Linked DNA regions of Canis lupus familiaris. The protein of the gene in region 3 interacts with the protein of the main gene of each other region in a pairwise test. Links are inferred from orthologs where the notes say so. Each region holds a gene or a part of one and is shown on either strand. Other genes may lie near its edges.

Region 1 (4,116 bases), about 15 Mb from region 3:
TCTTACTGGGAACTCTGGAATGGCACTTAGCTGGGAGCCTCAGCAGTCTGGGGCGGGGGAGGGAGATGGGGTGCTTGTGCTTGAGGGCAGTGGGTCCTGGGGGCTGGGACTTAGAGCCGGTTGGTGCTCCTTGGTTTCCACTCTCAGCATCTCTGGCTGTGGAGGACTTCCTGCGCTCCAGAGGAAGGGTCTGCTCCAGGCAGTTGGCCTTCCCCCGGTTTGTTCCTTCAAGAAACATCTCTGGTGCCCTCACACTTGTCCCAAAGTCACCAGGTCCCCCCAGCCCCTAGCTCTGCCCCTGAGATGCTCCTGGTGTCATGAACCTACAGAATTACACCTGTGAACCGGGAGGGACCTGGCGCAGGGGTGGGGAGGGGGAGCATGCTGCACTGACCACTGTGCAGGGGAAGTCTTGGAAAGCTGTGGGGGTGCGGTGGGGTGGGGTGGGGAAGGTGACACTGGGGCCAGGACAGCGAGGCAGGACAGGCTCAGAGTCCTTGGCCTGCTGGGGGATGGGGGCGGGGGGCTTGGGGGGCATTTACTCCACGCGCGCAGGGGAAGGGGGGTAAGGGGCAGAGGCTATGGCTCGCACGTGCCCCTGGGGGACTCTCCCCACGGGGGACTCTCCCCACGAGCTCGGGCCAGGCTGTCCTCCTCCCCGGGCGCGGCGGTTATGGGTTGTGGGAGGGGAGGGAGACCAGCAGGTGACGAAGCCGCCCTGAAGGGCACGCGCCGTCGCGCGACGGTCCCGCACCTGGGCGCGCCCCCCAGCTCGGTGCGCACAGCGGGGATGGGTTAGGGGGGTCCCGGGAGCCGCGTGGGGCGAGCCCCGGCCGCCCTCCCCGACCTCTCCCCGGGCACCCCCGCGGCTGACCTTGGGCGGGCCGCGCGCCCGCTCCCCCGGGCCTCAGTTTCCCGATCGCGCCCGGGGGGCCGGAGCGGGGCGCGCGCACCGCGGGAGGCGCCGGGACGCCCTTGCGGGGCCCCCCGAGGCGGGGGCGGGGGCGGGGGCGGGGGCGGGGGCGGGGCGGGGCGCGCAGGCGCAGGCGCGGCGGGCGGGGCGCGGGCCGGGCTCGGGGAGAGCGCGGGGCGGCGCGCGGCGAGCGGGTGGCGGCGGAGCGGGGCTCGCCCGGGAGCGCTGCAGGCTCGCCCAGGGCCCGCGCCGCTGCTGCTCGGCCCGCTGCGGGGCGGCGGGGGCCACCCGGGACCGGCCCCCACCCCTTGCCCGCGCGTCCCCCTGCCGCCGCCTCCGGGCCGACCTCCCGGCTTGGCTCCGCCGCGCCCCGGCCGCCGCGCCGGGCCCGGGTTGCGCGCCGCTGGGGCGCGGGCGGGGTCGGGGGGTGCGGGGGCCCGGCGGCCGGCGAGCATGGAGGAGAAGTACCTGCCGGAGCTGATGGCGGAGAAGGACTCCCTGGACCCCTCCTTCACGCACGCTCTGCGGCTGGTGAACCAAGGTGAGGGCGCACGCCGGCCGGCCCCAACCGTCGCCCGGGGCCGTTGGGGTGCGCGGGGGGCGGGGGCGGGGAGGGAAGCGCGGCGCTCGGGGGGCCGACCTGGGGCGGGCGGGGGCCCCGGGGGCGAGCTGGGGGCGGCTGGGTGGGGACCTGGGGCGACGTGGGGCGCCTGCGGGGGCGGGAGCCCATGCGCCCTTGGGGGGCCGGCGCGGGCGGGGGGCGCACAGGCTGGGGCGCTCGGATGCGGCTTGAAGCCCCCCGGGGACGCGAGGGGACCCGAGGGGCGCTTGCGGGTGCGCGTCGGCCCGCGTCCGAGGGCTTGGCCGGGGCGCGGGGCGCGGGGGGCGGGGGTTGAAGGATCTCATTGGAGGGGAGTTTGTGAGGGACTCGGGGACCCTATAGCGCGCTCGAGTTGTCCAGGGAACTGGAGAGGAAAGAGCTGGAGCAAAATGGAAGGATGTGAGGGGATGAAATGCACACGAGGTGAAGAAGGGAACAGGTGCTTGGATTGTTGGTGAAGTTTGAGGACCTTGTGGGGGAGGTTTGGGGTCAGGGCATCTCGGAGTAGAGGGACCCCGCGGTCCGCGTGGCCGAGCCCGGCTCCTCTGCTCTCCTCCTCCTCCTCCTCCTCCTCCTCCTCCTCCTCCCCCCACGCCGAGGCTGGAGCCACCCTGGCAGGTGGTCCGCCCTCCCCGGGGCCGGGCAGCTCCTGCCGAGGCTGGCAAGCTGGCCCTCGGAGGGGTTGGTGGGAGAGAAGAGGCCCACGCAGTTGCCCCCTTCTTGGCTTGCTTGGCTTCTCTTTGGGAGGCTCCGGGGGAGGGGGGTCGCCCTCCCTGGGGGCTGGCCGCTTAGGGATCGGGAAGACCGGGCAAGGAGTCTTTGCTGCCTGTGCCATTTCAGCGCTGCCCCCGCCGGTTCAGGGTGTGAACAGTCCTGCAAAGTACGGGGCGCCGGGGATCCAGGGACCTATGGAGGCGTGCCTGCCCGGGACAGGATTTCCTGGCTCGTTCTCTTCCTCCAGCCTCCTGAGTAATCTGGGATGGATGGTAAATCAAGCCTCCCTTCCCAGGAGCAGTCCTCACTTCCTTCTGTATCCGTTAATCCGTGTTTCGGATCAAGATGGGTTTGGGGGCCACTGGTCTGTTTTGTGTGTGTGTGTGTGTGTGTGTGTGTGTGTGTGTGTGTGTGTGTTTCCCCTCTCTGGGTGATGGCAGAAACATTATCTGGTCAGATCTGTTACCTTTTGCCTGAATCACTCAGTGCAGTGACAGTTTGTGGTTCCCGAGTTAAATCGGCTCTGCTGATCTCAATGCTGGCTCTGGCTCTTTTATTGTTGGAAGTGAAAGATGAGGCAGACATATTCTATCTGTATATAGATATCTATTTTTTAAAACAGCAGCCTCCAGCATTCGGCTGTTCCAGCCAGTTCTTCGGAGTAGGGTGTGTTGTCCGCTGATGGTGGTAGCGGAGAGGCTCGGTGTCTCCAAGAATTTGAAGCGTGCATGCTGTTTGAATGGTTGAGCAGAAATCTGTTTACAGAGCTTTCCCATTTCAATTGCAGGCTTTTTTTTTTTTTTTAATTTCTTTAATAAAGTGGGCTTGTGAAAAAGTAATGGGCTTACATTCTTAAATCAGAGAAAAAGAATTTTGAGCTTTGTTCCCATGCTCTTCTGAACAGTTCTGCAGTTAGGTTTGTACTCCTTGCTCTTCATGATTTACATATATCTTTTGTTGCCTGCTGGGCTGTCATTTCTGTGAAAGAAATTTCTTTGTACGTTGTGTGAGATCAGTGGCATTAGCAGTATTCTAGATTGTGGAATCAAGTGCGTTGTTTTTTAATAAAGAAGCTGACAAAGTTATGTTGTATTCAGTTAAGGAAACAGCTTAAAAGTGTGATGAGTTATCTTATTTTGAAACTTAGAATTTTTTTTTTTCCTCTGTGCCATATTGCCATAGTACTGTGTTGCTAACACGTTAAACATTCCTTTGGTTTCTATGTTTCTCCTAGCATTAATGGCCTCTAGTTACTTAGAACAGATATTGGACAATGTTGCCATTTAGTATTTTTTTTTTTAGATGTTAAATCTGATTACCTTACTTTTCCATAAAAAATGTGATTTGGGTAAGAAATGCATTTTTCACATTGAACAGTTCTATGAAAGAAGGAAAAGGTGCTAGGTGGATGCTCTCTTTACTGTTAATTTAGATTACTTCAGACTGAAATGTTTTGCCCTTAAATTATAAGCTGATATCCAGAATGCAAAGCCCTATCATTTAAAATACTAATCGTGCTCAATTATGTAACTTCAGAATTACAAGAGCATTTTTAAGTGTCTCAAGTCTGAATTTGAAGGGTTAATTAGAAAGCTTTGATTTTGAATCTGATTACCATCTTGTTATTGGCTATAGTAAAGCATTTTTAGTCTTATTTAGCTACAGTTTTGACTCTTTGCCTTGCAAAGAAACTCTTTTTTTTTCAGAGTTTATTCTGAACTTCAATGCATTAGCGTTCCGGCACTAACTTGTACAGTGGTGATGGTCCGCGGTGAATGCAATACCTTATGTTTTCGTGGAGTGTGTGCAAGTTTCCGAGGCTCCTTACGGTACATGATGCCCAGTTCCTGTCTAACACTTGCACTCTTATCAGATCGACACGATGTCT
Region 2 (3,500 bases), on a different chromosome or scaffold from region 3:
CGGCGTCTTCCTCTGCTCCCAGGTCTCGTAGTAGGACCCGAGGGTCCCCCGGAAGGCTAGGCACCTCCAGCTCCTGCCGGCTCCCTGGCATAGTGTCCTCTATTGTCCCTGTGGGGCTGGAGGCCGGCAGCCTATGGACATGACCCCACTCTGCTCCCCCTTTAGGTGTCCCCTCTGCACCAGGTAGGACGCCTCTGTCCTCAGCCTCTGTCCCTATCACCTCCTTCGGAGCTCCCTCGGCCCGCTCCCCTTGTCCCTGGATGCTGGGTGTTGAGTTCTCCAGGCAGAATCCTGTTCTTGGGGCTCCCTGAAGCCCCTCCCCCTCTGGTTCCCACATGCTCTGGGGGGGCCCGAGGCTCCTGGGATCTTCTCTCTTCTTTTCCATGGAGGGACGAAGATGCCTGTGTTGCTGCGACCTGGGGGGTGCAGCTAACCAGTCTTCCCTGGGCGCATCTCGCCGACAGCCGGCGTGGCTAGTGTGCGGCTCCTCTGGCTGGACTCTTGTGGGGTCCGCATGTGCGGCTGAGATCTGCAGAGAAGCCCCCAAAACTCCCTCACAACCAATTCACCAACCAGGTGCGTAGGAGGGGCCACAGACTTTCACCAAGGAACTTGCTAACTCTCAGGGAGTTGAGTCAGGAGATCGGGGTCCAGGCCCAGGAATCGGAATGTTCCCATCGCCCCAGGCGGATCCGGCCGAGCTGTGGTCTGGTCAGGGAGCAGTGGCGTTTCTCCCTGTTCTTTCCTCTCCTCCCTCCCTCCTTCCCCTGCGCCTTCTGCATCGATCTGCCTCCCACGAAGTTCTTCCCACCGTCTGCTCTGACCCTGCCCCCTGAACTTCTCTGTGTTTCAGTTTTCTTGTCTGTAAAATGGGAATAATAGCGTCTGCCTCGTAGGGTTGTGGTGAAAGCTTAGAGACCCACAGCAGCCAAGAGTCACCTCTCTCAGGCAGCCTTCTCTGTGCTCCCATGTTCTTCTGTGCACACCCGCATCACCGCGCTTGACAGGTTGTATTGTGACGGACTCCCCCTTCTGGTCGGAGGCTGTGTCCTCATGGTTTCTGTACCTGGTGCCTGGAAGCTGATGGGGTGCAAAGCGAGACTGGGGACCGGCAAGAGCCACAAGCCACCACTTGGAGAGCATGTGGCCAGGGGCCGTGCTCTGTGCTACATGAGGTCTGTCTCAAAGCATCCTCACGACCACTTGCCAGGGGGGACAAGTACCTTGCCAGGGACCTTTGTTATTAGGGGCAGAACTGGGATTTGAACCCAGAAACCTGGCTCTTCAGTTGCTTCCTGAACTGAACTGAGATGTTTGCAAATTGTCACATGGAGGCTGTTCCCTGGTGTGCATCCTACATGCTTCTGGTTACCCTCCCCCTGCCCCCTTTCCCTGGGTTCCCTGGCTCCCGTGTAGGGTGCCAATGGTCCCCTTCTCTCCCCAATACCCTCACCACCTCGGGAATATGAGCCCTTCCTTCTCCTGTGGCTTCCCAGTCCTCAGGTCTACACGCTGGCGTCTGTCTGTCTGCTTGTGACTGCTCATCCTTGGGGGGCCCAACAGAGATGGAGAGGAGGCAACTCAGAGTGAAGTTGGGCAGAGGTACCTGCTTCGGGGCATCTTTGGTCTTTCTGGGTCTTCTTCCCTGGGTCCTGGCGCTGGAGCCACAGGACCTGCAGTGAAAAGGGGGGCCGGGGGGGCTCTCTCCGGCAGTGGCCTTGGTGCTCAGCTGCAGGACATCCCATCTTTCCAACCCCCCATTCACGGTGCTACCCCTCCCACCTTCCGCCCTCATCCTCGTGGATGCATGCCCCTCTCCATCCACGCACGCACCCCGCCAGCCACTCATGCTGACACCCGCCATGGGTTCATCTTTCTGACCCTCCAACAACTCCTTAGGAGTGTGTCCTGTATGCAGCACCACGCAACTTGGCGGGATTACACTGGGCAAACAGATGCCTGGGGAGGTGGGGAACCGGGGCCTCGGACCGCAAGAAGGGGAGGTGAACTGATGGGACCAGAGGCCGAATTTGGAGCTCACTGGTGGGTGGGTGGTGGTCAACGGCAGTGAGGCACTGGAGACAGGCTTCCCTCCACGCTGGACCCACTCACTCTGAGAACATGGGCCAGGCTTCGTCTAGGTTTGGCCACTGCAGGTCCAAGTCAAAGGCCACCGCATTGAGAGTGTAGAGAGCGTCCAGGAGGTCTTCCCGGAGTTCGGGGCACACCAGAGGGCTCCGGGGGCCATACCATTCCCTGTGTTAATAGTGAGCAGCAGCCTTGGCCTTTGGCCTTGGTGCTATTGCTCCCCCCACCACCCCGAGAATCTGCCTCCGCTGTGCACGACGTGGCATGGTTCCCAAGGCAAGGGTGTGGCCCTCGGGGAGCAGGAGGCTTCAGCATCATGGTGCTACGGGGACTCCTGTGTTCTGGCCGCCCCCCTTGCTCTTTCTTCCTTGATTTTTCCCTCATGGCTCTCATTTTAGTTGCTCTTGATAGTCACCCTCCATCTGGGGCAGGGGGGCGGGGAGAGAGGCATCTTGCACAAGGGAGGGACAGTGGGCTCCAAGGGTGTCAGGAGGAGCACGTCCCAACAGCCCCACCTGGTGAGCTCTGTGTTCAGGAGGCAGAGCTGCAGGGACTCGGCCAGCTGTCCCTGAGCCAAGCAGAAGCGGATGAGAGTGCGGCCTTTTGCCAGAGGAGTCTTCAGCTGCAAGGTGCACAGGGGGCGAATGGTGAGGGGCCGGGGGCTGGGGGGCACTCAGCCAGCACAGACAGACGATATGGGAACTTGTATCATCATGGGAGGAAAGGGGTGGCCGGAGGGATGCTGAGGGCAGGGCTAATGAGATGTGAGGACCAGGTGAGGGGTCTGTGGTCTGCGGGGCAGGGATGGGTGAGAAAGGGGCCCCCGGAGGCCATTCCCCACAAAGGGCCGATGACAGGACCCCCTGATGCTGAGGCCAGCCACCCTACCACCTGGCTCTGGACACCTTGTCCTGTGAGTGAACGAAGTGGACGGGCTCCGTGCCACCCCGCTGCCGCCACAGGGCGGTGCAGAGGAAGTCCCAGTAATCCTTCCGAGGCCTCAGGAAGCTCTTCTGCTCTTTCTGGTCAAACTGGGAGCGAGATGAGGGACAGGAAAGCATAGAGATGTTTCCTCCCAGAAGCGGCCTTGCCTTCCAGCACGCTGAGAGAGGAAAGGGCTACAGTAGACGGGCCTGGCTCCGCCCTGACGGGCTGTGTGACCACGAGCAAGGTGCTGGACCTCTCTGAGCCTTTGGTGTTCCATTCAATCGTTCCAATAGTACTTGTTGAGCACTTGCTTTGTGCCAGACTTTGTTCCGTGCCCTGGGAATTCAGCGATGAACAAACTGACCTCCTGGGCATGTACTTGGTAGTGGAGTTAGCGAACACACTGAGTCAGTAAAACATCTGTTATGTTAGACAGCGCTGCCTGCCAAGGAGAATAAAGCAGGGAACGAGAATAGAAAGTTCGT
Region 3 (3,500 bases):
ATTAGAGGGCCGAGCCCGAGGACGTGTAAGTAGCATAATAAAGTGATCCAGCCTTTCAGTAAGAGGGCCTGGGAGCTCATGCCTATCAGTTTGCTTGAAACTATACAGAGATTTTTTTTTTCCCTTTTTTGTTGAGAACATGGGCAAAAGACCTCATAGGCAGCAACAAACTTCAGACCACACACATGCACCCATGCACGCACATACCTGCACACACACGCTTGCACGCGCACACATGTGCAGTGGCAGGGCCCGGAAGTTCCAGCAGAGAGATGACCCCAGGAGAAAAATTCACCTGGAGGTTTTGGGGAAGAAAGTGTCAGCTCAGTTTAATCTGAACAGCATTTTCGTGTAACCATTTGACCTTCAATGGGAAATTTTCTTCTTTTGCCTTTTCCTTTTTCTTTCTTTTTTTCTATCCACTCCCCACCCCGAGCCCCTTCCCTGAACACCAAGTTGGGCAAGCAACATAAAGGAGGGCTGGGACTGCGTAAATACACCTGGGGCATGTGCAGGGACAGGCTGAAGAGGGAGAGGCCAGCAGAAGGTGCAGGGAACAGGAGGAAAGTGGGGTTAGAAGTCCTGTTGGAAGATGGGCGGGGAGGGGTCTTTGGAATATTTGGACAGAGGAGAAGGTGACAAACCAGAGGGGTCTTTCAGGAGGGGTCCTGCTGATGCTGTGGGGCCGGGCCTTGCAGGAAGGGTTGTTGTGGCAGGTGGGGCTGGCTGATTGGCTCTAGCTTCGGGTCCCCCCCACTGTCCGCCTCCCCATCCAGGTCAACGGGATGGACATCAGCAACGTACCTCACAACTATGCCCTGCACCTCCTGCGGCAGCCGTGCCAGGTGCTGCGGCTCACGGTGCTGCGTGAGCAGAAGTTCCAGAGCCGGAGCAGCGGACAGGCCCTGGATGCCTACGGGCCCCGCAGTGACACCTTTCATGTGATTCTCAACAAGAGCAGCCCCGAGGAGCAGCTGGGAATAAAACTGGTGCGTAGGGTGGATGAGCCCGGGGTGTACATCTTCAACGTGTTGGACGGCGGTGTGGCGGACAGACACGGTCAGCTGGAGGAGAACGACCGTGTGTTGGCCATCAACGGACACGACCTTCGGTACGGCAGCCCAGAAAGTGCGGCTCACCTGATTCAGGTGAGTCACGGGTCATTGCCAAGATCCTGGTTAGCACCTGTCAGCGTAAGTGGGATGCTCGTTACCCTGACCTACCCGCCCTCTGACGACCGTGTGTGACATGCAGTGGCCCCCTTCCCAGGAGTCAAGACTGAAGGGCCAGGTAGGAACATTACTCCAGCAAAAGATGTGTCTCAGGCCCACGGCCATTCCCTCAGTGTTGCCAGCCATCCGATCTGAGTGCCCACGTAGGGGTTGTAACCTAACCAGGTGAAGGTCACTTAAGATCAGCAGCGTTGTGTCATCCTTGGACCCAGTCTGTTATTTGCAGACCCAGGGGTCATTCACATCCATTCTGGACACTTCCAAGACACCTAGGGGTACTAACTCCCATAAGAAGCAGTGCCATGTGCCCTCCAGGAATCCTGTGGATGGAGACCACTGTGGGATTGGCTAAGGCTGAGCCTCCTCTCAATGGCTAAGTCCAGCCTTCTTGGAAAGCCCATGGGAACTCAAGTATGAATCTATCAGAAGGGCCCTAGAAAGAGAGGCATACAAGTGATGTTCCCGATAGCCTGACATTGGTTCAAATGAATTCACTTTCCTGACTGGCATAGCATCATCAAGCCCTAGCCTGGGTCTTGTTGTCTTTGGCTAGGTCACCATGTTTTTCCAACATTTAATGAGCTGCCATCTTTATTCTTAGGACAGGCTTTGTTGTGGGCTCTTGTACTCTAATTCATTTATTCACTCCCTTTAGCCAAGATGTATTAAGTTTCTGCTACTCAGCCAGCCACGGTGTCAGGTACAGAGAACATAGAGATGGTGGCCTCTTAGGCTGCTCTCTCGAAGGAGCCCAAATCTAGTACAGGGGATGGACTTTCTGTAAATAATTGCCATAGGATATGTTAGTACTATAATGTTGTTTCAGATGGAGAGATTTTTCTTGCATGGGCCTAGGAATTCTTTACAGGAAAATATCTTGAACTTGGGGCTTTGAGGAATCAGTAGAAATTCTCTAGGTAGACAAGGCAGGGAGGGTCATTTTAAGGCAATACACCACAAAGGAACATTTCCCTGGAAGGTGGTCTGGAAAAGCATTAATACCTGGAGCGTGGTGTCTATTATAAAAAGCAGCCGTAGCAAGGCAGGGTTGGGAGGCAAGGACCAGATCCTGCGGAGTTTTATTAGCCACTCTAAGAAGCTCAGACTTTATCCTCAAGGCCATGGGGATGTCCCTGGAAGGGTTTAAGAAAGGAAGTGACATGATTTTCTAGATCTCTCTAGAGGTAGTAGAAAGCTGATAGGGGAGGGGCCCGATTAGAGGCCTTATCGTATGAAGCGTTTGCAATTACCCGGCACACCACGTCAGCTTCCAATTAAAGTATTAATACTTCAAGAAGAGACAGCGAGTCAGCAGCAGTAGTTGACTAAACCTTGTACCAAGCTCCGCGGAGGATGATAATCAGAAGACATAGAGTACTTTCGAGAACTTGGTCGCTTACGCACACACACAAAACTCCCTACCCTGGGTTCCGGCCATGGAGTTCCTGCAGGTGTTCACAAGTCTCTTCATTGTCGTGTGTGTGGTATCTTCTCCTTCTTCCCAAGGAGAACCAAGGAGTGTGTGCTACTGTCCTTTTAGGTGTGGACGGCCTGAGGCAAAGAGTGCAAGGAGACTTACCCTACGTCCTCTGTCCACCAGGATAGGAAGCACATGGGCTGTCCCACTCTTGAGGTGATGCTTAACGTGATGGATGTTTATCTGCCTAACAGGCCCTGAGGCCATAGTCTGTGGAGCAGGTGGAGAAGAAAATCAAGAGTTATGAGGCATTTCCCCTCTTGAGTTGATGCCATGCATTCCCAAACCCGCATGCCCGGCTTTAACTTCTCTGAACACCATACTCGTGTAACCAACTCCCTACTTGGTATCTCCATGTGAATATTTTCAAATATTCAAACTTCAAACTTCATATCTAAAACCAAATCCTTGACTTCTCTCTACTCCTTGTCAAACCTGCCCTTTCCAGGTTTCCATCCTCTTCCAGTCTCTAGGAATGGCACAATTTATGCAGCTATTTGGGCCAGAAGATTTTCTCACTTTCTTCAACATGCTCTTTTTGGAATCCATTTCTCACTACCTCCATGGCATCCATGAGCCATGCTACCACCAGCACGGTCTCTGCGAGAGCCCTCCCAACTGGCCTCCTTGCCTCCGCACATGACTTCCTACCTCTGCTCTCTACAAGGCAGTTAGACGGCCACTCTACAAAATCAGTCCTATCCTGTCACTCCCACACTCAGCTCTCCGATGCTTCCCAAGACACCTAGATTAAAATCTCCAAATATTAGCAGTGGCCTTCAGAGCCATAT
Region 4 (4,119 bases), on a different chromosome or scaffold from region 3:
ACCTATCTCCAAAGATGATTTTCAAAATACTTATCAGCATAGCACACACCCTAAGCAATCAGAACAGAGGCAGACTGTATCCCTGGATAACTTCTCAACTTCAACTCTAACTTCCTAGGCTTGCGTTTCTGCTTTCTTCCTGGCCTCAGATGATTTTTCCTGATTTCCTCACAAGTTTATCTACGTATTGAAAAGGGTGCTTTCAATATCTCTCCTCTTATTTTAATATATTTTGTTGCTGTCATATTTGAAGAGTCCTCGGTTTCGTTAGAAATAAAGTCTGAGGGACGCCTGGGTGACTCAACGGTTGAGCGTCTGCCTTCGGCTCAGGGCGTGATCCCAGGATCCAGGATGGAGTCCCACATTGGGCTCCTTGCAGGGGGTCTGCTCCTTCCTCTGCCTGTCTCTGCCTTTCTCTCTCTCTCTCTGCCTCTCATGAATAAATGGATAAAATTAAAAAAAAAAAATCTGAGTAAGAAATGTTAGGCACATGTAATAAAATATCCAGAGGTAAGCTAGAACTGTAGTTTAATGTCACATGAGACCTAGGCTCTTTCAATCTTTCCATTTTGCCAACCTTAGCATTTGCTTGTCCCATCATAGGCACGTGATGGGGACTGAACTTCCAACCTTCAAGTCTGCTTAGGGGAAGGAAGAGAATAAAAGTGGCAAAGCACTTGAGCATACTCAACTAGAAGTCCTACTGGACTTTCTTTTCTTTTCTTTTTTTGTTTTTTTGTTTTTGTTTGTTTTTTCTTTTCTTTTTTTTTTTTAAGTATTATGGGCTAGAAAAAAAATAAAAATAAAAAAGTATTATGGGCTAGGAGTTGGTCACATGACTATGCTTTGTCTAACCACTTGGCTCATGAGATTACTGTGAATAGTTTGGACTAACCATGAGGCATTCCTCCTAGTAGCAGTGAAGATCTACCTCCCCTGAGATCAAAGGGTCTCTTCTGGGACCTGAACAAAATGAGGTTTTTCTTAGAGGGACCCAGCACAGCGCCTGGCACAGATGGAACTGTTCCTGTCCTTGTACATTCCCTGAGCATCCACTACGTGCCAAAGGCCCTCGGAGACAAAAATGGATTCGACACGGCCTCTGCTAGGCAGCATGAGAGAGATCAAGTCTGAAAAGGGGTTAGGACTCGGTGTCAGCTCCCTCATTCCCAGCACCGGCCTCACCCGGAGTCCCTGAAGACAACTGACCCGCGCCAGGTTGCACTGCGCAGGAGTAGGGCGGCAGCAGCGCGCTCCCCTCACGCCCCGCCCCGCAGGAGAGTCCCGCATGCGCACAGCGTTTTCTCTCTGACGCACCCCCGGAAGCACTGGCAGTTTCGGGGGCGGAACCGGGAAGCGTTTCCGGGGGCGGGAGGTGCAGGCTGAGGCGGTCGCGGCGGCTACGGCTTGAACGGGCCTGTCGCTGGCGGCGGAAAGTGTCCCGCGGGCGGGTTATGTGAACGCGGAGCCCTTAGCAGGTACGGCGAAGTCGGGACGACAGGTAGCGAGGGGACAGGGAGGGCAGCCGGGGAGGTTTAAGGGCTTCCTCCGCAGGTCCCGGCGCGCGCGCGCCCCCCGGCCCGGCAGGCCCGTTCCGCAGACCGGGATGCTCAAGAAGCCGCGCTCGGGCGGTTGGAGTCCCCGCGCCCGAGGCCGACTCCTGCGGCCTCCAGCCAGCCCGGTGCGCGGGCCGCGACACCCAAGGCCCCCGAAGCAGCGTCTCGCCCAAGGTCACCCCGCGGCGGCGGACCTCGGCGGGCCGGAGCGCTTAGAGATCCCGCCTGGGAACGTCCGCCGGCCTTTCGGGGGCGCCGTGTGGGTGCGGCGAGGCGGCCTCGGGTTTGAGCCGAAGCCGGGAGACAGGCAGCACCCGGCCTTGGCTGGTGCCTGCCTCCGTTTGCTTCTAAGTAGTGTTTCCCCTCTGTTGACGTCTCTGTCACCTGTTGTCACCTGCCCTTTCTGCCTCTGAACTCCGCCACTATCGACTTTGTATTTCTCCCCAGTTTCTCTTGCTGAGCACACATCTCTATCTGCACCCCCCCCCCTTTTTTTTTTTTCTTCTTCTGTCTCTACTTTGCTTATGTGACTCTTGACCCTGTGTTTCCCTCTCAGTCCTCACTCTCATTCATGGCCTGCCTGCCTGCCTGTCAGCCTTGCTCTTTGGCCGTCTGTGTTTCTGCCAGTTTTGTGTCTTTCTCTCTTGTTTGTGCGTCTCCTAACTAGGTTTGTCTGGGCGGAGCAGGGCAGGCTTGCCCGGACCTCTGAGCCATGCAAAATGACTCATGACCCCGTGAAGCTTCCTGCAACTGGTGACAGTCTCAGTGACTACACTGCAGTCTGGCCTCAACTCTGACAGGTGCCGCCCAGCCCAAGTGTGCCGGTGCAGGAACGCCTCGTGGGAGACAAACCAGAGACCATCTCAGGGCCAGAGTATCTTGATACATACTTGTCTTTTTTTTTTTTTTTTATGCATGGCTTTCTGGCCTGCACAACCCTCCACTTCCCTTTGCTCCAGCCCCTTACCCCAGGATGGCCTCCGGGGCTCTCAAGAGCCTGCTCTTTGCGTTACAGCTGCTGAACTAGACCTGTCCACAGGCTAAGGAATAGTCAGTCTAAGATTCTCTGCCTCATGGGGCTCATGGAATAGCAGGATTTCTGAGAAAGCTGTATGCATAGTTCAGAGATTGTGTCAGTATCTACAGTTAAATGATAAGAAACCTAATAATTTGGGATTCATTCTTTTCTTTACTAAAGTACTCACCGGAGAAGTAAACCAGACACAAAAGAACAAATATCTTATGAGGCCACTCATGTGAGGTATCTAAAATAGGCAAATTCATAGGGACGTACGTAGAATATAGCTTATCAGGGCCTGACAGGAAGAGATGGAGCATTATTGTTTAACGAATACAGAGTTTTAGTTTGGGATGATGAAAACAGTTCTGGAAATGGATAGTGGTGATGGTTGCACAATGCTGTGAATGTGCTTAATGCCACTAATTGTACACTTTAAAATGGCAAATTTTATGTGAAGTGTATTTTACCACAGTACAGAATAAAACCAAACAACCAAACAACCCAAACTGCTCTTTGGAGAAGCTTGGAACTAAGCAGCTCTTTGAAAATGTGATTTTAAAAATTTATTTTGTGTGTCTTTGGAATATTTAGTTGAACCTACGTTTGTTGATACCTGCTTTTGTCATAGCTAATGTCCTCAGAAAAGGAGTTCAGTTAAAAGAATTTGCTTAAAATCTTCCCTTAAGCTTTCTACTTGTGGCAAATTCCTGCCCTGGCTCTTCTCCCTCCATGTTCTTGGATTCAGTGTAGGCATCTGCTGCAGACCCATGGGAAATTTGAGGAAAGATTTTACTTTTTACATAAAGAAAACTTTAGGGTTGGAAAAATAGCCCTGTTATTATGATAATGCAAAATTATGTGTCATTTCCTGTGTGTTTTCTGATGGGGGAGGCCTTTATGTTACGTTCTCTTATTTAAGCTATCAGGTTGCCAGTATGGTAGTTTTTCAAGCTTTCTTGTGAGATATTGCAGCTGAATTAATACTGTATTGAATCCTAATACCATTGATTGTTTTCTGTACCACCAAAGGAGAAAAAAACACCGTCAATTTAGCTATGACATGTGCTTTTTTAATCATTTAGGCTTATAAAAATTCTTAGTGAGAAAATATTTTTAGACTTATTTAGACATTTTTAAATGACATCATTCTAATGCTAAATAAAAAGAAAAATAAGTGAAATAAATTGGCTAAAGTGTTTGTTAAATTTTTAACATTCCTACTCTTTTTGAATACTTCTCAGTTCAGAGTTGGGTCCATACTTTTCCAGTGTCCTCTTTTGTGCCTTCAGAAACACTGATGTGGCTCTCAGGAATGCTCTATCATTGTCTCAGGCAGTGACAAGCATTAAAATTTCCACTTGGCCATCATATCCTGATTGCAGAAATTTTGAAATATGCCTCTTAAAATCAGTCGAATGTACTCTACGTTTTTATGAACTTTTATTTTTTCCCTTTTTTTTTTTTTATGATAGTCACACAGAGAGAGAGAGAGAGAGAGAGAGAGAGGCAGGGACACAGGCAGAGGGAGAAGCAGGCTCCATG
Region 5 (3,954 bases), on a different chromosome or scaffold from region 3:
TTTGTTCTCAGGACATTTAAAAATTACTGAAGAATCCAAAAAGCGTATCTTTGAAAATTCTATGAAACATAAGAATACACAAGCACACATCCCTTTAGTCACCAGAGCAATGTCATCACACATTCTGTAAATCTGTGATCATTTGAAAATGAAAAGTTAAAGAAAAGGGGGGGAAAGCAGCACAGAGAATGGAGCAAGTAGGGATTACATCAACTTTCAACAGCGATGGAAGCCAGAAGGTAACCTGACATCACCACTACACTGAAAGAAAATAACATCCAACCCCAAACTCTATAAACAGTGAAAGAAATCCTTCAAGATGAATTGAAGACATATTTAGACAACCAACGCAGAAAGTTTTTCTGTACTGAAGGAAATTGTGAAAAGTGCCCGTCAGGCAGGAGAGCGTTTCCACAAGGAAGGTCAGAGATTTAACAAAGAATAAGAAGGAAAGAAAATTAGGAAAGAACGCTGTGCTAACTCTAAAAATTACAAGTATGAGAGAAAAATTATTGAGGAATCCAAATAGTTTACCTTAGGAAACTGTAGAAAACACAAGAATATACAAGCACGCATTACGTTAGTCATCAGAGCAGTGACTTCACACACACACATCAGGTCGCCTCTGGAAAATTCCCACAAGAATGAAAAGGGGCAGTGACGCCTCACTATTATTATGAAACTCGTTTTGACACAGACTCCCTGAAAGGACCCTGGGATCTGCAGGGTCCCCCACAGCACACTTTAGAGAACCGCTGCTCTCATCCTCACGTTGCCCAAGGCAGGTTCTCCTGAGTTCCACTCCCCTCCGGCCAAGGGAGAAACGGCAAGGTCACCGGCCCGGGTTCACAAGAGGAACTACTCTTTTCCTTTCGCAAAGGTGACCGGGTGACGCACAAGCTAGAAAGTCGGGTTTCCGGGAAGGCGTCGAGAGGCGCCGCGAGAGGGCGCCCCGAGAGAAGCCCGCGGCGCGCCTCGCCCCTCCCGCGCCCCCGCCCGCGCCCCCGCCCGCGCCCGCGCCTGCGCCCGCCGGGTTCACACGGAAGCCCGGAAGAGGGGGAGGCGCCCGGAAGAGGGGGGCGGTCGCGGCCTCATTGGACGAGCTGCCTCCGCCTCACGCCCGGAGGCGGGGCTACTTGGCCCTAAAAAGCGGGACCCGGCGGCCGCTAAAGCGCGCCGTTCTGGTCGCAGTCTGGCCGACGTGCTCGTTGCTCGCCGAGGTCCGCCGGGTCATGGTGCCAGCCTGACTGGGAAGAGGACGCTCCGGGGAGACGAATGAGGAACCACCTCCTACTACTGTTCAAGTACAGGGGCCTGGTCCGCAAAGGGAAGAAAAGCAAAAGACGAAAATGGCTAAATTCGTGATCCGCCCGGCCACCGCCGCCGACTGCAGTGACATCCTGCGGCTGATCAAGGTAGCGGGAGGCCCGGGCCGCCCCTGGGGAGGGGGAAAGTGGGGAGCCGCTCCGGCGGGTTCCCCTTTGTCCGCCCGCTCCCCCCAGCTTCAGCCGGGCCGCTCGATTCTGGGAACGAATCGCCGCCCCGCCCACCCCGTTCCCTCTGAGCTGCCTGGGCCAGGGCCTCACTTAGTTTTCTCCCTCTCTCCCTTTCTCCCGTGTGCATCGCCCCAGGAACTGGCTAAATACGAATACATGGAAGAGCAAGTAATGTTAACTGAAAAAGGTAACGCGACTGTACCAGGGCGGGGGAAGGGTGTCTGGTACTTGGCATCTTCACCGAGGCCATCACTGTCCCCGATGCCCCTTCTTGCAGATCTACTAGAGGATGGTTTCGGAGAGCACCCTTTCTACCACTGCCTGGTTGCAGAAGTGCCCAAGGAGCACCAGTCTCCGGAAGGTAACGCCGCCCCCCCCCCCCCCCCCCCCCCCCCCCCGCTTCCAGAAGCCAAACACCAAGTGTTGTATAAAACATAGAGTGTCTGTTGTGTAGAACCACTGACAACGCAGGCCAAAGTTACTGAGAAATTGGCCAGAAATAATAGCCAGTGTTCAAACTACTGAGGAAAAAGAAAATAGATGTCCTGCACATAATAATAGGGCGGGTTGAAAGAGCTGTTTAAGTAAGTATCAGAATGCTGTGGAGACCTGGAAGGGTTAGGTATAATGTCATTTATTGTAATTCAGTTCTTGTTTGACCCTAACGTAACCTTTTTTGTAATTGTGTTAAATCACATTTTTTTCTTTAATTTGTCCCAATCTTCAGGTTACAGTCTCTAGCTTCGCCATGTACATGGCCCTTCCGTGTACATGGATGGGCGGGGAGGTAACTAAAAGATCCTTTACACAATAAAGTAGATGATCATGATAAATGAGGTAAGGTCCTATTATCACACACTTAAAACACGGTAGATCAGAAACTCCAGTGTACTCTCTTCCTGTGTTTGCAAAGGACTATAAAATGGCTAGAAAGTTTAATTTGAAACCTTTGCCTCCATTTGAAATTATAGACACCCTATTTTTATAGGGAGTCAGATTGTTTTATTTTTTTTTTTTTTGCTGGTCCCTGTTGACTGGTCAGAAGACAGAGCTAAAAGGGGAAGTTGTTTGGGTGGGTGCTTCACTTTTTTCTTAAGTCTCTTCCCCAAGCTAGAAGAAATGAACGGAAAACATAAGGGATGAGGTACTTTTTGGAGGTATGTGGATGTTACATAAGAGCTATTTCTGGGTACCTCTGCTTCTTCTGGCTTAAAACTGGGGAGAGCAAATTGAAAATCTGAATTGGAAGGCAAGTTCTGAAATTAAACGTTACACTTTTGATGGCCTGATGTCCTGACCTTAAGGAAGCAGAGTTTCTAATCTACAAATATTTACTATTCTGAACTGCCGTGTAAACCCGACTTATTCCCAAGTCAACATACCAATATATCAATAGGATGTGAATAATGTGTGTGTTTAGTTTAAGACTACAGCAGTTTTGCTCTGGCAAGTAATGAAAGTCTCACTTCCTGGGGTGTGAGATCCAGCAGATCGCAGAGTGGCCAGTCCCATGATTTTAGCCTCGCTTCAGCTAGCTCTAATGTGTGCTTTTTGCAAATACATGTCCTGAGAACAGTGAGATCATCCAAAAGTGGCCTGGACTGCACTAGCATAAAAATCAGGAGACAGTCCCGTTTCAGTGCCTACTTACTTCTATAATACATGCATGTTTATTTTCTAAAACCTATGATAGGCTTCTGATTTTGCAGCTACAACTTTTATGGGTTGCTTTTCGTTCACATCTCATGTGATATTCTTATTACAGGACACAGTGTTGTGGGTTTTGCCATGTACTACTTTACCTATGATCCATGGATTGGCAAACTGTTGTATCTTGAGGACTTCTTCGTAATGAGTGATTATAGAGGTATGGCTGAGTTTAGGAGGAGATGCCCTAAAGAGAAACCAGGACTTAACATCCTGAAGATGACTTTTTAAATGGTACTTCTCTTTCTTTTAGGCTTTGGCATAGGATCAGAAATTCTGAAGAACCTAAGCCAGGTACGTCTTGGTTTGGGGGGAGGGGCAGGGGGTTTGGTTTCCAGATTTGTAAGGGTTACTGAATTATTTTAATGACTGGAACAGATTTGGGTCTTGGAAAGCAGGTGAAATGTCACTGAGTTTGTTTTACTCTCCCTTATAATAGGTTGCGATGAAATGTCGCTGCAGCAGCATGCACTTCTTGGTAGCAGAATGGAATGAACCATCTATCAACTTCTACAAAAGAAGAGGTGCTTCTGACCTGTCCAGCGAAGAGGGATGGAGACTCTTCAAGATCGACAAGGAGTACTTGCTAAAAATGGCAGCAGAGGAGTAAGGCGTGTGCCGGTGCAGACGATGACAGCTTCCATTCTATTTTAGATTAAGTTCTCAACTGATCTTGCTTTCTATCCTGTTTGTAGTCAAATAATAGAATGAACACCCATTCCAAAGCTTTATTACCAGTGGCGTTGTTGCA
Region 6 (4,084 bases), on a different chromosome or scaffold from region 3:
CTAGTACAGTTTGGTAAAACTTAGTCTTCTGTAATTTTCACATCTGTTTTAGAGTAAATGGCTTTTTTTGTTTTTGAGAGAGAGTATAATCGGGAAGAAGTAGAGAGAGGAGAGAGTCTTAAAAATAGCCTGGTGCTTAGCCTTCAACATGGGGTTTGATCTCTCAACCCTGAGACCATGGCCTGAGCTGTAATCATGAATGAGATGCTTAACCATCTGAGCCACCCAGGCACCCCTAGAACTAACGGCTTTTGAAAATCATGCTGAATGATGAAAATTGTATTCACTTATTTTAAGTAGGCTGCACACCCAACATGCCCAATGTGGGGTTTGACCTCATAACCCTGAGATCAAGACCTAAGCTGACATCAAGAGTCCAGTGTGCAACCGACTGAGCCACCCAGATGCCCCTGTTCACGCATTTCTAAGTGTTTTGTTTAAACTGGAGTATTCTGATAGATCATACAGTGACACGGTTTGGAGATACTTTTTTTTTTTTTTTATTTATTCATGATAGTTACAGAGAGAGAGAGAGGCAGAGACACAGGCAGAGGGAGAAGCAGACTCCATGCACCGGGAGCCCGACGTGGGATTTGATCCCGGGTCTCCAGGATCACGCCCTGGGCCAAAGGCAGGCGCCAAACCGCTGCGCCACCCAGGGATCCCGGTTTGGAGATACTTTTAAAAAAATATAGATTTTATTTCTTTGAGAGGCAGAGCAAGCATGAGTGGGTGAGCCTGGAACTCAGAGGCCTCAATGCCAGGAGCTGAAACCAAGAGGAGGCTTAACCAACTGAGCCACCCAGGTGCCCCTGGAGATACTTTTGCATTAAAGGCCTAGGACCTGTCTATTTCCTTGCCTTGTCACTATATTAAAGGGTATCAGGCCATTGTTAGTTTGCCGATTTGTGCCAGGCAATTTAAGGGCCTGTATTATTTTAGCAACACTGCTAAAGTCACTTCATTCCTAACGTGCTGCACGATTTAGGAGCTGCGCGGGCAAGGACGTCTGCATACCGTTTCTCCAAGCACAGACCATCCACCTGCAGCGAACACACCTGTGTCGACGTTCCAGATTTAAGCTGTGTGATCTGCTCTAAGATGAGGTCTGTATCCTCAGCTCCTACAGCGGGTGACAGGAGGCCATCAACAAGGAAAGAAATATTTTTTCCAAGTAGATATTTCGGAGCAGGACCACACCTCGGACCCGGACCGCAGGCGCTTACGGGGCCGCGCAGAGACCCGCGCATGCGCAGTCGAGGTCGTGCGAGCGGAGCCGGTGGAGGGCAGTGCGCGTGCGCGGCCGGCTCGCCCGCTATAGGCTGCTCCGAGGCGGGAGCCTTAACCTCCGGGAGGTGACGGGACCTCGGGCGCCGGCTGTCTTGCTGGGACGCGCGGCTTCTGTGGGATCTTCGCCCGTACGTCCTCGGAGGGGGCGGCTTGGGGGGCTGCGGCGGCCTGTGCGGGACGGCGTGGGGAGGGGCGCCGAAGGGGGCCTGCGGGGGCGGAGGGAAGGAAGGCGGCGGAGCGGCGGGGGGAGGGGAGGGGAGGGGTGCGGAGCGACGGGGGACGGAGCCGAAAGGGAAGGGGCGGGGCCGAGTGGGGGCGGAGCTAGAGTGTGAGGGGGAGGGGGCGGAGCTAGAGTGAGGGGCCGAGTGGGGGCGGAGCTAGAGTGTGAGGGGGAGAGGGGGCGGAGCTAGAGTGTGAGGGGAGGGTGAGGGCGGAGCTAGAGTGAGGGGGAGAGAGGGCGGAGCTAGAATGTGAGGGGGAGAGGGGGCGGAGCTAGAGTGTGAGGGGGAGAGTGGGGGCGGGGCTAGAGTGAGGGGCCGAGTGGGGGCGGAGCTAGAGTGTGAGGGGGAGAGGGGGCGGGGCTAGAGTGTGAGGGGAGGGTGAGGGCGGAGCTAGAGTGAGGGGGAGAGAGGGCGGAGCTAAGTGTGAAGGGCCGAGTGGGGGCGGAGCTAGAGTGAGGGCGGGTGGGGGCGGAGCTAGAGTGAGGGGCCGAGTGGGGGCGGAGCTAGAGTGTGAGGGGAGAGTGGGGGCGGAGCTAGAGTGAGGGCGGGTGGGGGCGGAGCTAGAGTGAGGGGCCGAGTGGGGGCGGAGCTAGAGTGTGAGGGGAGAGTGGGGGCGGAGCTAGAGTGAGGGCGGGTGGGGGCGGAGCTAGAGTGAGGGGCCGAGTGGGGGCGGAGCTAGAGTGTGAGGGGAGAGTGGGGGCGGAGCTAGAGTGAGGGGGGCGGAGCTAGAGTGTGAGGGGGAGAGGGGGCGGAACTAGAGTGAGGGGCCGAGTGGGGGCGGAGCTAAAGTGAGGGGCGGGTGGGGGCGGAGCTAGAGTGTGAGGGGGAGAGGGGCGGAGCTAAAGTGAGGGGCCGAGTGGGGGCGGAGCTAGAGTGTGAGGGGGAGAGGGGGCGGAGCTAGAGTGAGGGGGGAGAGGGGGGCGGAGCTAGAATGTGAGGGGGAGAGGGGGCGGAGCTAGAGTGTGAGGGGGAGAGTGGGGGCGGGGCTAGAGTGAGGGGCCGAGTGGGGGCGGGGCTAGAGTGTGAGGGGGAGAGGGGGGCGGAGCTAGAATGTGAGGGGGAGAGGGGGGCGGGGCTAGAGTATGAGGGGAGGGTGGGGGCGGGCTAGAGTGAGGGGCTGAGTGGGGGCGGAGCTAAAGGGGGCGGGGGCGGGAGGGATGGGGCAGGGGCGGGGGGACGGAGCTGAATAGGGCGGGGGCCGAGTGGGGGAGGAGCTAAATGCGGATGCGGGTTGGGGCGGATATAAGATGCGGGGGCGGGGTCGGGATGGAGCTAAGGGGGAGGGTGGGGCGGAGCTGAAGTCTGCGGAGGTGGGGGGGGGTCGGGGTCGGGGTCGGGGGTGGAGCTAAAGTGTGGGGCGGGCGGGTCGGTCGGGGCGGAGCTCATGTGTGCGGGCGGTGGGAGTCGGAGTGGGGGTCGGAGCGGAATGCGAGGCGGGCAGGGTTGGGTTCGGGAGGGATGGGGGTCGGGGTCCGGATCAGAGCTAAAGTGCACGGGGCGGGGGGGGGGGGGGGGGGGGGGGGGGGGGTTGCGGCGTCGGAGGATGGGGACGGGGTCGGGGTCTGGAGGCGGGGCGCGGCCGGTGGGGGTCAAGGCAGTGTCGGGGCCGGAGTTGGAGTGTGCGGTCCGGTGCCAGGAGCATCGGGTGGGGGGGGGGGTCGGGGGCGAGCTGGGGCCGGGGCTGAAGAGTGAGGGTGTCGGGGTCGGGGGGGTCGGGTGGCAGCAGGGTCTTGGCGGTGCGCAGGCCCCAGGGAGGGGCGACCGCGGGCCGGGGGTCTCCCTGCGGGGCCTCCCTGTGGGGCCCGCCCGGTGCTGGGCTGTTTGCCGGGGCCTCCCGAGTTGGCCCGCGGGGCTGGCAGGGTCGGGGCCCCCCCCCCCCCCCCCCCGTGCGTGGGCACCGTGGGCGGCGCGGTCAGGAGCCACGGGGGTCCCGGGGTCCCGGCGGGGCCCGCTGCTGGGGGGGTGGAAGGCGGAGGGCGGGGTCAGCGGGGCGGCGGCTGGCCGTCGGCTCCTCCTGCGCAGAGGGGTACTGCTGGCGCCCTGGAGGCCTCGGGGACCCGGGCCCCCCTCGCATTCTCCAACACGCGGGCTCACGTTTACGGCATCCTGCTTAAGTCCTCGATTCCTTACAGGAGCCCTTTGTGATGAAAATAAAATCTTACTGGCTGTTAAACTTATATTTTAAGGCTTTTTGGCATATTTAGTCTCTTACTGTATTTTTAAAGATACGGTTGTAGCGATGAACTGTTTTCCTATTTGGAGTTAATTCTATCAGATGCATGGATGATCTGTGTTTTGGGTATTTTTTAGGTCGGTACTGCTGAATATGAGACGGTCTGCAGCGCCAAGTCAGTTGCAGGGGAATCCCCTCAAAAAACTAAAATTCGTACCACCAGCGAGAAGTAATCCAAGTCCAGATGAAGGGATTACAAAGATGAGTCCTGATGTAAAATTAATTGAGGTAAAAAAAAAAAAAAAAAGGAAGCATAATATAGAGAAGCACGCACTTTTTAAAAAAGACATGTCACTTAAGTTAACAGTACGTCGGGCAGCCCGGGTGGCTCAGTGGTTTA
Region 7 (3,173 bases), on a different chromosome or scaffold from region 3:
ATACGTACTTGATACAATTTAAATAAGTTAGGCACACTAAGACATTACTAGCTCATGTGATAAAATAGAATGTTTGTAACACATAACTATTATGCAAGTTTCAAAATATCTCTTAAAGTATCTTACTGTCCTGTACTCACCCTTCTTGTGATGACGTGAGATGATAGAATGCGTAGTGATCCGACGCCAGGCTACTGGTTGATCTTCTGGTGCCAGGTCAGAAGGAGGGTCAGCTGATTCCGGATCAAACCACCCTTGGCACGGGTGACTGAAAGCACCGGAGAGCAAAACCGTGGATCAGGAGGGACTCCTGTGTGTACTGCAGGAAGAGAAGAGTGAAAGCTAAGCAGTTGCAGCAGTCTGGGTGGGATAAGGAAGGCTGGATCAGGGTGGTATAGTGGGAGAAGTGACTGATCTGGGGATATATTTTAAAAGCAGAGCCAACAAAATTTCAGCTCTAGGGTCCTGGACTCAACGATTTAAATAATCCAGTTCAAAGTAGAAAGCCCAAAGCATTTAAAAACACAAGTGTTCATTGTTAAGCAACAAACAACATGCGACCGAGGGCCAAGGGGCATTAACAGGACATGAAACAGAGGGTCAAAGAGAGGCGAGAGCCTGCAAATCGTTCTCCAGTGGTGCTTTTGCAGAAGTTTTTATACTTGACTGTTTAGAAAAAAATACTTTTTAAAAAAGGATGTAGGTATACAATATTGTTTCCCAACTAAAGAAAAAAAAACCCCATTTAGATATTGTTTTGTTTTCAAAGAGGAGCCCCAAGGAAGGGTCTTTCGCAACTCCGAAAGGATGCGTGGCTCCCGCGGGGCAGGCCGCAGCGCCAGCAGTTCCCTGGGTGAGTGGGATTTCAATAAGCGAGGACGTGTGTCACCGAAACGCGCAGGTGGAATCTCGTAGCCACAGACCCACCAAGGAGCCCCGCACTGTGTGAGTCGGCTGAGTCCGAGCGTGACCGATCCTTTAAAGTTGAGCAGGTTGGCCCTCTCTGAGCTGGCTTTTGGCGGTCCCGGGGCGCACATCCGGGGCTCTAGCGCGGGAGCCTGCCCTTCCCGGGCGCCGGCCTCGGGAACTCCGGCCGCGGGCCCCCGGCTCCCGCCCGCCCCCTCCCTTGGACCGAGCCCCCGGCCCCGCCCCCGGCCCGCCGGCCCCGCCCCGGCCCCGCCCCCTCGCGGCGCCGGCAGCGCCCTGACCACGCCCCCCGACCCGGGCCGCGCCGGCGCGCCGGCCGCCCGAGTGGCTGTGCGGGCGGAGCTTGCGCAGCAGCCGGACCCCAGCGCGCACCGCCCTCCGCCCCTGGCCACCGTGCGCCTCGGCGGACACGCACTTCCTGCGAGGCCTCCGTGCGCACCTGAGCCGAGCCCAGCCCTGCGCTTGCAAGCCGTTCGCCATGGTGGACGAGCTGGTGCTGCTGCTGCACGCGCTCCTGATGCGGCACCGCGCCCTGAGCATCGAGAACAGCCAGCTCATGGAACAGCTGCGGCTGCTGGTGTGCGAGAGGGCCACCCTGCTGCGCCAGGTACGTCCGCCGAGCTGCCCGGTGCCCTTCCCCGAAACGTTTAGCGGCGAGAGCTCCCGGCTCCCCGAGTTTATCGTGCAGACGGCGTCTTACATGCTCGTCAACGAGAACCGATTCTGCAACGACGCCATGAAGGTGGCATTCCTAATCAGCCTGCTCACCGGGGAAGCCGAGGAGTGGGTGGTGCCCTACATTGAGATGGATAGCCCCATCCTAGGTGATTACCGGGCCTTCCTCGATGAGATGAAACAGTGTTTTGGCTGGGATGACGACGAAGAAGACGACGACGACGACGACGAGGAAGATGATTACTAGGCCGGGAGACCCTCGGGCCCAGGGGGGAGGGCCCTGCACGCCGCCATCCTCTCCCCCGCCTCTCCTGCCCGGCCCGGAGCCGCCCAGCGCCCTTCCGCCCTCCCATCCCCTTCCCTACCCCCAGCTCTCCGGTTCTCTCCGTCATCCCCCTGTAGTGCTTGCCTTTGTTCCGGTTACCTGCTGCTGGGGCCTCGCTCGGAAGCGCGCCGCCACCCACTCTGGCCAGCCCCGGGGCCCTCCCCTGCTGATTTGGACTGTGTCCTGAGCCCCAGCTATAGGGCAGGCCCCTGTTACAAACTGGTCAGACCACGCACAGCCCTGCCCTGCCGACTGCAAGGCCTCCATCTGCCCAGAGACCTACGCTGCCACTTCACCACCGTCCACCACATTCCAGCGACAGAACACAGCCTTTGAAAATAAGGACCAACCTAGAAGATGCCTGAGTTGGCTCTATGTCCTTGGACATTGATTTGGACAGCTCACCAGCCCCTGAAGGGGCCAGTCTTTCAACCTGGTTAGTTCCCTGCCTACTCCCAGGGTCCTCCCCTTCCCCACCAGATTGCTGCAGGGGCCTAGTGCGCCTGGCAGCCAAATTGTTGACATTTCTTTTCTCCTATGCACCAGTTTTGCACAGCTGTCCTTTTTCTTTCCAAACTGCAGCAGTCCCAACAGATGTGTGCATTTGGACAGAAATACTAAAAACAAAACAAACAAACAAAAACAGGCACTCAGCCCAGCTCCTCAATACCACCTGGAAAAAAGCATTTACGTTCTTTTCAATAAATATCAAGCACTACAAAAATAAAGAAAGGAGTGTCTTTTAATGGTTAAGTGCTATCATTGGCCTCTTCCAATCTCACTCTGACTCCCGTTATGCCCCCTGAGGTCAGGGAACTTAGTTCAGTCCCAGTATTCGCCACTGTCATCTCTAGGCTACAGAGGACAACTACCACAGGGTTTTCTAGGAATTCTGGTACTCTCCTCACCAAGGCATTTCTTAAAGCCCTGGCAAAAGGAGTGAGTGTCCTCTGGGGCCTCCAGGGTGGCATGGGTAAGGGGTGGCTGAGCAGGTGGCACACCATCCCAAACTGGGACACTTGAGAGTTAAAGGGGGACACTGTTAATAATTAGACTAGGACAACAGGCATAAATCTGGACACATACAATGTTATTATCTTCTTGAGCCTTTGGATTCCTTACTCAACACTGCCAGAGAAATTCTGTCCCTTAAGTCTTGTTGCCCGCGGGGCGCTGTTGAGTTCAGACTTCAGTTAACTACGTAGCATATTGTTTTAATGCCCCTTTCAGGTGCTTGAACTGACAT

Evidence for each region.
Region 1: the proteins of LNX1 (region 3) and KHDRBS3 interact in a two-hybrid assay, tested with the Homo sapiens proteins (2 studies listed by BioGRID and IntAct). The link is inferred for Canis lupus familiaris from reciprocal best matches to the Homo sapiens genes LNX1 and KHDRBS3.
Region 2: the proteins of LNX1 (region 3) and RUFY4 interact in binary tests that used the Homo sapiens proteins (3 or more experiments, as listed by UniProt). The two-hybrid records come from large-scale screens. The link is inferred for Canis lupus familiaris from reciprocal best matches to the Homo sapiens genes LNX1 and RUFY4.
Region 4: the proteins of LNX1 (region 3) and ZBTB43 interact in binary tests that used the Homo sapiens proteins (3 or more experiments, as listed by UniProt). The link is inferred for Canis lupus familiaris from reciprocal best matches to the Homo sapiens genes LNX1 and ZBTB43.
Region 5: the proteins of LNX1 (region 3) and SAT1 interact in binary tests that used the Homo sapiens proteins (3 or more experiments, as listed by UniProt). The link is inferred for Canis lupus familiaris from reciprocal best matches to the Homo sapiens genes LNX1 and SAT1.
Region 6: the proteins of LNX1 (region 3) and RAD54B interact in binary tests that used the Homo sapiens proteins (3 or more experiments, as listed by UniProt). The two-hybrid records come from large-scale screens. The link is inferred for Canis lupus familiaris from reciprocal best matches to the Homo sapiens genes LNX1 and RAD54B.
Region 7: the proteins of LNX1 (region 3) and LDOC1 interact in a two-hybrid assay, tested with the Homo sapiens proteins (2 studies listed by BioGRID and IntAct). The link is inferred for Canis lupus familiaris from reciprocal best matches to the Homo sapiens genes LNX1 and LDOC1.

What each region holds. Positions count from the first base shown.
Region 1 is NC_049234.1:31,933,112-31,937,227, forward strand, and holds the start of KHDRBS3 (KH domain-containing, RNA-binding, signal transduction-associated protein 3), read left to right. Parts: upstream 1-1,316; 5' UTR 1,317-1,366; coding exon 1,367-1,454; exon of another isoform or gene 1,455-1,519; intron 1,520-2,371; exon of another isoform or gene 2,372-2,500; intron 2,501-4,116. UniProt on the Homo sapiens protein: RNA-binding protein that plays a role in the regulation of alternative splicing and influences mRNA splice site selection and exon inclusion. Binds preferentially to the 5'-[AU]UAAA-3' motif in vitro.
Region 2 is NC_049258.1:24,687,349-24,690,848, reverse strand, and holds part of RUFY4 (RUN and FYVE domain-containing protein 4), read right to left. Parts: intron 3,120-3,500; coding exon 2,994-3,119; intron 2,711-2,993; coding exon 2,604-2,710; intron 2,257-2,603; coding exon 2,113-2,256; intron 1,674-2,112; coding exon 1,607-1,673; intron 1,081-1,606; coding exon 940-1,080; intron 530-939; coding exon 1-529. UniProt on the Homo sapiens protein: ARL8 effector that promotes the coupling of endolysosomes to dynein-dynactin for retrograde transport along microtubules. Acts by binding both GTP-bound ARL8 and dynein-dynactin.
Region 3 is NC_049234.1:46,797,172-46,800,671, reverse strand, and holds part of LNX1 (E3 ubiquitin-protein ligase LNX), read left to right. Parts: intron 1-776; coding exon 777-1,148; intron 1,149-3,500.
Region 4 is NC_049230.1:56,548,418-56,552,536, reverse strand, and holds the start of ZBTB43 (zinc finger and BTB domain-containing protein 43), read left to right. Parts: upstream 1-1,319; 5' UTR 1,320-1,478; exon of another isoform or gene 1,479-1,501; intron 1,502-1,821; exon of another isoform or gene 1,822-2,430; intron 2,431-4,119. UniProt on the Homo sapiens protein: May be involved in transcriptional regulation.
Region 5 is NC_049260.1:19,543,611-19,547,564, forward strand, and holds the start of SAT1 (diamine acetyltransferase 1), read left to right. Parts: upstream 1-1,154; 5' UTR 1,155-1,349; coding exon 1,350-1,415; intron 1,416-1,631; coding exon 1,632-1,683; intron 1,684-1,773; coding exon 1,774-1,857; intron 1,858-3,261; coding exon 3,262-3,363; intron 3,364-3,456; coding exon 3,457-3,497; intron 3,498-3,642; coding exon 3,643-3,813; 3' UTR 3,814-3,954. UniProt on the Homo sapiens protein: Enzyme which catalyzes the acetylation of polyamines. Substrate specificity: norspermidine = spermidine >> spermine > N(1)-acetylspermine. This highly regulated enzyme allows a fine attenuation of the intracellular concentration of polyamines.
Region 6 is NC_049250.1:39,848,663-39,852,746, reverse strand, and holds the start of RAD54B (DNA repair and recombination protein RAD54B), read left to right. Parts: upstream 1-1,284; 5' UTR 1,285-1,418; intron 1,419-3,099; exon of another isoform or gene 3,100-3,156; intron 3,157-3,821; 5' UTR 3,822-3,837; coding exon 3,838-3,972; intron 3,973-4,084. UniProt on the Homo sapiens protein: Involved in DNA repair and mitotic recombination. May play an active role in recombination processes in concert with other members of the RAD52 epistasis group.
Region 7 is NC_049260.1:112,048,995-112,052,167, forward strand, and holds LDOC1 (protein LDOC1), read left to right. Parts: upstream 1-1,258; 5' UTR 1,259-1,405; coding exon 1,406-1,849; 3' UTR 1,850-2,673; downstream 2,674-3,173. UniProt on the Homo sapiens protein: May have an important role in the development and/or progression of some cancers.